Linked DNA regions of Danio rerio. The main gene of each other region encodes a partner of the protein of the gene in region 2 in a complex. Links are inferred from orthologs where the notes say so. Each region holds a gene or a part of one and is shown on either strand. Other genes may lie near its edges. The genes, in order: arpc3 and arpc1b.

Region 1 (4,478 bases), on a different chromosome or scaffold from region 2:
TTAATACAAAATCTTTAACATTTAAAGGACAGTTCACACAAAATGTACATTTCCCAGTCATGATTATTCATTACAGTTTACTCCAAACCTGTTTGAATTTCTTCCTTTAGTAAAGCGAACGAGATTTTAATTGACCTCCGTTGTATATTTTGGGTTAGCAACATTATTCAAATTTAATATTCATGTTTAATTTGAGGTGAGCAGGGCTTTACTTCACTGCTTGTATAGGAATGTTTTAGTGAAAGTGAAAGTATGTATGTATGCATGTATGTATGTATGCATGCATGTATGTATGTATGCATGCATGTATGCATGCATGTATGTATGTATGTATGTATGTATGTATGTATGTGTATTATAAATATATGACATGACAAAAGTAGATATTACATGACTTTTACACACGACACTTATAGAGATTTAGATTTAGAATACATGGCATTTTTAGACACAAAACTGCTAATTATGCTTTTTTTTTTTACTTTATTTTGTCACCAATAATTTTTTTAAAAAGTAAACATAAAAGACAGAATTTTTTTTACAACAAGTGCATGGAATGTAGCTTTTCAAAACTTGCGCATTAAAAGGGTTTAAAAACATAACATATCTGAAGTAGTAACTTTGCAATGTAGATGCATTCATGCACTTGAGCTTTATTATTGTCTGTGTAAACAGATCTAAATGCCAGTGGACAGATGACTGTTTTTGATGCTCAAACTGGTAACAGCCTGACAATGTCTTATTGTGTTAAAATGAAGCACACATTTAATACAGTTAGGGGAAAATGGCCTTTATAAATGAAAACACTGCCTTGGAAATCAAATTAAAGATCAACTAAAATATCTTTTTCATTTCCGTTTAGTGACCAACATAGACATCAAGGCTTAATGCTGAGCCCTTATGAGGATGTGCAACCTATCACAGAGCCATCCCTTTCAATCAAAAATCCAACAAATTCAAAATCTGATATAAACTGAAGTAAATAATATGTGCATACATACAGTTTATAGGTACACAGTTTAAAGGGATAGTTCACCCAAAACGTAAAATAATGCCATCATTTGCTCTCCCTTCACTAGTTCAAAACCTGTTTGACTTACTTTCTTACAAAAGAGGATATAGATTAAAAAAAAAAAAAAAAAGTAGGTTCGAAAGACCCACTGACAAAGGTCCACAATTTGCTACATAGGCTTAGGCTTGTTTGTCCTATTTTGACTGCTATGTCATCATAAATAGTAAAAATAACCCATCGAAAAGCTTTAAGATCAAGCAGAACGCTCTGCTGGCCATCACATCGTGTGACTTCAGCTAATCTATTTGGTCAATGCAAACATTTATTTTTCATGATTCCAACATCCATCTATGCAAGAAAACATGCAATCTAATGTATGTGAACTCATATTTTGCTACTGTATTGTTAAATAGAGAAAACATTTCAGTAACTTTTATTCTAAATCTGGGACCTTATTCTTAAAACAAAAATGTAATTACTGTTTAAATTTTTAATTATTTAAAATAATAATAATTTTAAATTTCTGACAGAGCAAAGTTGAATGTACTGGTCAGTTTGTTATTTGCCTAACAAATGACAATAGACTAGTTTTTAATTTAAAACTTCAACAGATTCCTATTTTTTTGTTCTAATGTAATACATTTGTATTTTAAAGATAAGTATTCTTTATTCAGTATTTATTTCAGTATTGTAAATCTTTAGAAAATATTTTGGTACATCAAAAAGTGTGGTTAGGATGACCACCCAACAATCTAGCTAAAACTAGGGCTTAAAATGTCACTGAATTAAATAGAACGTAAGGCGAATAACATCAAAAAGGTCCACATTTTGTAAAAAAGACCCCCCCCCCCCCTTTCACCAGGCTGGCTACGGGCCTGTTGACTCTTATAGAATTTGTGTCTCCTTTTGAAGTCAATGGTTACATTGTTCTTCAAAATATCTTCTTAAATATGCAAGAAACTCATAAAGGTTTGGAAACACTTGAGGGTGAGTAAATTTTCATTATTGAGAGAACCATGCCTTTAAATTCGAATACAAAGTGAATATTAATTCTTCTCTGAGCGCAGAACTATGAATGCAGGTTAAGGCACGCAAGTACATTTTTCAGGCTCCTTCACGCTTCCAGCACGGTCATTTGCTCCTTACCTTTATTTCATAGTTCTTGAAGAAAACATTGGCTTTGAAGTAGTAAATGGCCTCATCAATGATGTCTGTGTCTTTAGCTGGTAATAAAAAACAGGAAGGAAATCTGGTTTGTCAGACACTCTTTACTAATGACCATTTAAGGTAGAGTTAAACACATCTCATATCTCAAAGTAAGTTAACTGTTAGATCCTAAATAGTACAAAAGTAAATCCTGTCTTACTTTCTCTAGCAGCAGGACCCTTAAACTGTGTTTTGAGGGGCAGTAATGCCATATTGCCCACCAGTTTGGTGTCTGCATCCATCAGGGCTGAGTGATAAGCCTAAAAAGAGTGAAAGATGACATAAAACGCAAGACTAATAATGTTTTTTTTTCAATATGACGGAGCAAACATTTGTTTTAAAAAGGACTAATATTTACAGAAAAAAATCACAACGTTAATTTAAGTGAGGAAATCCAGTTGTTTGCAACATTACCTGATTCACCAATTCTGTTTTAAACAACGCATTTTCTGACACTTCTATGTTTATATTTGGGATCATTTGATAAACTCAAACATGTAATAAATAAATAAATTCGTAAAACTGTCAAATTTGTGGAAAAACGATGAGAGTATCATGATTTTTACATTAGCTCTTCGGCTAATAGAGCTAAATATTTTCTAGCTCCCCGCTGCTCTAACGTATAACGTGGCACAACCGCCTATAAAGCAAACAATGGCGCTCGTGGTGTAAATCGTTATGTGTGAATATTTCTTACCGGCATTTTGGTACAATATGTCCCAAACCTAGCAGGCAGAAATGAATATGTCAGCGCTGCAAGCCGTCGCTTCCGCCTGTCCCACCCTTCACCGATACAGGAAGTTTCCAGTACAATATCTCGCCAAAACCACTGGAGGGCGCCAAAGGTAACGGTTACAGTCTCTCTTTCCCCCAGAGATTATCCAGTAAAATATCCATTGAATATTCAAAAAACGTTCCATGCGCAAAGTATTTTCACCTCACGACAGTCGAAAAGATTACACAGTTTTAGTATTTTAGATTTAAAGGGTTAGTTAAGCTTTTCACTCACCATAGATGATGCTGCTGCAGATGTGACAATAAAAGTGATTTGATTTGATTTAGTTCACACAAAAAATTATATTTACTCGCCCTCAAGTCGTTCCAAACCTTTGAGTTTCTTTCGTTTAACACTAAAGGACATTTTGAAGAAAAATTAAAACTTGTAAACATTGACATCCACAGGGAAAAAAAGTGCTCAGTGGTTAGCACTCTTGCCTCAAAGCAAGAAGGGTGCTGGTTCGAGTCCCGGCTGGGAGTTGGCATTTCTGTGTGGAGTTTGCATGTTCTCCCTGTGTTGGCGTAGATTTCCTTCGGGTGCGCTGGTTCCCCATCACTGTCTAAACACTATAGGTGAATTTAATAAACTAAATTGGATGTAGTGTATGTGTGTGAATGAGTATATGGGTGCTTCCCAGTAGTGGGTTGCAGCTGGAAGGGCTTTCATTGTGTAAAACATATGCTGAATAAGTTGGTGGTTCAATCCGCTGTGGTAACCAATGACCAACAAAGGGTATAAGCCGAAGGAAAATAAATGAATTTTCCTGTGTTCAACACAAGAAATAAACTCAAAGGTTTGAAACAAGTATAGGGTGAGTAATTGATGACAATGTTCATTTTTGGGTAAACTATCAATTAATAAAATGTTCACCCAGAAATGAGGTCAGTGTTCCAGTGTTCAGGGTTTCCAACATTCTTTAAAATATCTTTTATTTTTGTGTTCAACAGAAGAAAGTAACTCAAATAGGTTTGCAACAAAAGGAGGATGAGTAAATGATGCGTGAACTATTCCTACCTCCTATTAACAAGGTTCAAATCAAATATTCAAGACTGGAAGGTTCAATATAAAAGTTTAACAGCCACTGAATAAATAACCAAGATCAACCACTATTCTGGAAATTTAAGGAACGTCACTATCAATGTCTTCTGTTACCAAAACAAACCATGGCTTTATTTCCTGTAAAAGTTTAGAAACCAAGGTGCTTTTTAATTACCATTTAGTTTTACCCACTGGTTTAATCTTCAAATACTATAGTTTTAACTATATTGTAACAATACTATAGTATTGAAAAGATCTCTAAAGTTGTTACACTTCAAAGATAAAATGTAACAAGAAGATTTTGAGCAAAATAAAACACATTTGAAATTTCCATATTTTTTATTGCAAAAATAAATATACAGTTCTAAAAATGAACAATATTTGATAAAACTCTGCATAGCACAGGTTATTGTTTCATCCTTCAAACAATGAAATCATGACAAA
Region 2 (3,831 bases):
TGTCCACGACTCTGGATTTCTTGTATACATCTGTGTTGACCATTCTCCTAATAAACCCTGCATTTAGATCCTCAACTCAGTTGTCAGCATCCGTCACATTACAGAATGCATGAAATATTTTATTCGACTGACTCATACAAAGATTCATTCAGTAATTAAAAAAATGAGGAAGTTGTACAATTATTAACTTGTGTAAAAACAAAGATAAATTTAAGAATTCCACCAATCCTAAGACCCAACATGTCTTTCTTTGTCTTTTATTATTTCACCAATGTTAACAGTTCCAAATTGACTGGCCATGCTGTGTGTAAAATGTACATTAATAATAACTAGTGAAGGATTGTACAAAATTTGCCATGTGAAATGTCTTAGATTTATCATTCTGAATAGTCTGATATATTGCCGATATGGCAAAGCAGTGGCGCAGAAGGTAGTGCTGTCGCCTCACAGCAAGAAGGTCGCTGGTTCTAGCCTCGGCTCAGTTCGCGTTTCTGTGTGGAGTTTGCATGTTCTCCCTGCGTTCGCGTGGGTTTCCTACGGGTGCTCCGGTTTCCCCCACAGTCCAAAGACATGCGGTACAGGTGAATTGGGTAGGCTAAATTGTCCGTAGTGTATGAGTATGAGTGTGTGTGTGTGTGTGTGGATGTTTCCCAGAGATAGGTTACGGCTGGAAGGGCATCCGCTGTGTAAAAACTTGCTGGATAAGTTGGCGGTTCATTCTGCTGTGGCGACCCGGATTAATAAAGGGATATAAGCCAACAAGAAAATGAAGGAATGAATGAATATTGCCGATATGTAGTCTGATATATTTAACATGTAATCTATGAGCCAGATTTCTCCTATATAGAAGCCTCAGCAAATGAAATATCTACTTTGAAATGACTAGCATCCTCCATTGTCCATTTTAGCCACATCATTCCTGCTTTTAACCAAGCAGTGTTTTAAACTCTTTAAAAAACATTTAAAAATAAAAGAGCCAAATCTGCCATCTGCCTCATGACATAAGTAGATTAACCACCATCAGTCAGTTCTTTTCTGTCAGAAGAAGCTCAATATCCATTTCTCCTGCCTGATACTCACCAGTCATTATCCTGCTCAAAATAGCACACAGAGATCAGACGTGAGCCGCTGCCCACAGCAAACTTGTTTTCCTTCGGAGACCATTTCACACAGCGGGCAGCACGGTTGATCCTGAGAATGACCAGTGTAGGCTTCCATGCGTCTCCCTTCAGGGTCCAGACGTATGCGTTACGATCAGTGCCGCAGGTGACGATGCGATTGCTCTCTGGGGCCCAATCAATGCCTTGGTGTTGATGAGAAAACCATTTGGATTAGTTTAGATTTGGTCACATAAATGATCTGTGTCAGTGTAGGTCGGATGAACCTTCTAAACTTACCAGTAACCTGGCCATTGTGTTCCTTCAGCACGTGGATTTTGTTCCAGTTGTTTCCTGCCTTATTGTAGATGTGCACTTCATGGTTATTAGGACACAGTGCAATTTCTGAAGGAGACAGGAATCCAGTAGATAAAATATTCAAAGCAAGACTATGACAAACATACATTGACTTGATTAATTGGATAACAGTCTAAATATTTTATTAGTTGCTACTAGTTTATTCAGTGTTTATTAGTGGAATCTATTGTCGTGGAAATCTGCTAAAATGACTCTCAGTTTTCTAAAAAAAAAAATCTGTCATCCGTTTTATTCCCCTCAGTGCACGTACATTCACATTTGTGTCAAACTCCAGGAAAGATACATTTCTGGTGGGAAAGAAGAGATCTTTTTGCTATTTTCTAACTCCTAACTTGAAATGTCACTACAACGTGTGTGACTTTGGCCTTGGCCAGCACATTCTGCTTCTCTGCATTCATTTAAACAAACTCTGCATTCATTAAAACAAATAGCTGACATATCTAGCTATCTATCTATCTATCTATCTATCTATCTATCTATCTATCTATCTATCTGTCTGTCTGTCTGTCTGTCTGTCTGTCTGTCTGTCTATCTATTTACCTACCTACCTCTCTCTCTCTCTCTCTCTCTCTCTCTCTCTCTCTCTCTCTCTCTATCTATCTATCTATCTGTCTGTCTGTCTGTCTGTCTGTCTGTCTGTCTGTCTGTCTGTCTGTCTGTCTATCTATTTACCTACCTACCTCTCCCTCTCTCTCTCTCTCTCTCTCTCTCTCTCTCTCTCTCTCTCTCTCTCTCTCTCTATCTATCTATCTACCCACCCACCCACCCACCCATCCGTCCATTCATCTATCTACCAAAGCCTCATAGAAATTTACACTAGATATCGCATACGGATGTGGCATCAATACTGCCACCATATGTAGTGCTCCCAGGACAGAAGTCATTCAACCGCACTAGTTAGACTAAAGTCAATATGACAATGCTGGATTTAGCGCTGTGTATGGGTGTAACTTTTATATTTTTGTATTTTGTGAACTTTTGTGCTAAACAAGAATTGATGATAATACAGTCACTTACTGCACTGTCCACAAGGCAAAGTAGTACCAACTCGCACTCACTTCTAGGACTATGCTAGTTTTGTTGAATAAAATCAGCAATGTAAATGAAATATGTCAAAAAGACACTGCAGTGCCAGAAACTTGTTTTATTGTATGCTAAGTGAAGTAATGGCTATAGTTTTTAAAGTAACTTATAAGGATGCCTGATTACATAAGTGTCTGCGCCTCAATGTGCATACTGTCTACCCTAAATAATTGAATGTAACAAATTTTATATACCATTTAGATCAGAAAGGTGGATATGCACATTGAGATGCAGAGATATGGATGGTTACACAAATTGTTCATAACAGGAAGATTCATTCACTAACAAATCGCTCTCACCATTATAATTAAAAGTGAAAGCAGGAGAGGGGGTGTGTTTCAGGACATGGATTAGATCAAATTTAACAGGGAGGATAATACATTTCCATGTACACAAACACATGGTCTTTGTTAGCAATAACTGTGCGGTCACTTTTCCATCATTGTTGAAAAGTTTATTTTCTTTTCGGCTTAGTCCCTTTATTATTCCGGGGTCGCCACATCAGAATGAACCGCCAACTTATTCAGCACATATTTTACGCAGTGGATGCACTTCCAGATGCAACCCATCTCTGGGAAATATTCATACACTTTCATTCACATTCATACATTACGGACAATTTAGCCTACCCAATGCATCTGTACCACATGTCTTTGGACTGTGGGCGAAACCAGAGCATACCAACATGAACGCCGGGAGAACATGCAAACTCCACACAGAAACACCAACTGTCCCAGTCGAGGCTCGAATCAGCAACCTTCTTGAGGTAAGGCAACAGCACTACCTACTGCCCCACTGCGTTGCCCTGATGTAAATGATATTTTTCATCATTTAAAAGAAAATTTGCATACAGAGCACCATTTCAAAGGAGTGCTACCCTGTACTAAAATGGCGGCTCTATTGACATATTCCTTCTAATAGAACAACAGGACAAAATCTAATGTAATTATCTATGGCAGAGCCTACCAATTAGCCAATGGAAACATGCTAAATCATGCTAGCAACATGTGCTAATCAAATGTTAAAAACATGTAAGTAAAATGCTAATTCTTGCTAAAATGCTAAATATTGCTAAAAGCATAATACCAATGTACTAAAGCACGTTAAACACATAAATATGCTAGAAGTATGCTAAATCATAATTTCTGTTAAGTGCATTCTGTGTCCCCAGTGAAGATCATGATATCATTGACTTTTAAACTTTAAGCATATTTATTTATTTATTTTTTAAATAAAGATCCCAAATATCCCTAAACATCCCAAAAATCACATT

Evidence for each region.
Region 1: arpc1b (region 2) and arpc3 share a complex: the UniProt entries of both Homo sapiens proteins name them as parts of the arp2/3 complex. The link is inferred for Danio rerio from reciprocal best matches to the Homo sapiens genes ARPC1B and ARPC3.

The regions. Positions count from the first base shown.
Region 1 is NC_133196.1:18,449,419-18,453,896, reverse strand, and holds the start of arpc3 (actin-related protein 2/3 complex subunit 3), read right to left. Parts: upstream 2,957-4,478; 5' UTR 2,922-2,956; coding exon 2,916-2,921; exon of another isoform or gene 2,714-2,915; intron 2,479-2,713; coding exon 2,379-2,478; intron 2,236-2,378; coding exon 2,159-2,235; intron 1-2,158. Other genes in the region: protein FAM216A, read left to right, coding at 2,957-3,063. UniProt on the Homo sapiens protein: Component of the Arp2/3 complex, a multiprotein complex that mediates actin polymerization upon stimulation by nucleation-promoting factor (NPF).
Region 2 is NC_133178.1:39,766,717-39,770,547, reverse strand, and holds part of arpc1b (actin-related protein 2/3 complex subunit 1B), read right to left. Parts: intron 1,503-3,831; coding exon 1,398-1,502; intron 1,304-1,397; coding exon 1,081-1,303; intron 1-1,080. UniProt on the Homo sapiens protein: Component of the Arp2/3 complex, a multiprotein complex that mediates actin polymerization upon stimulation by nucleation-promoting factor (NPF).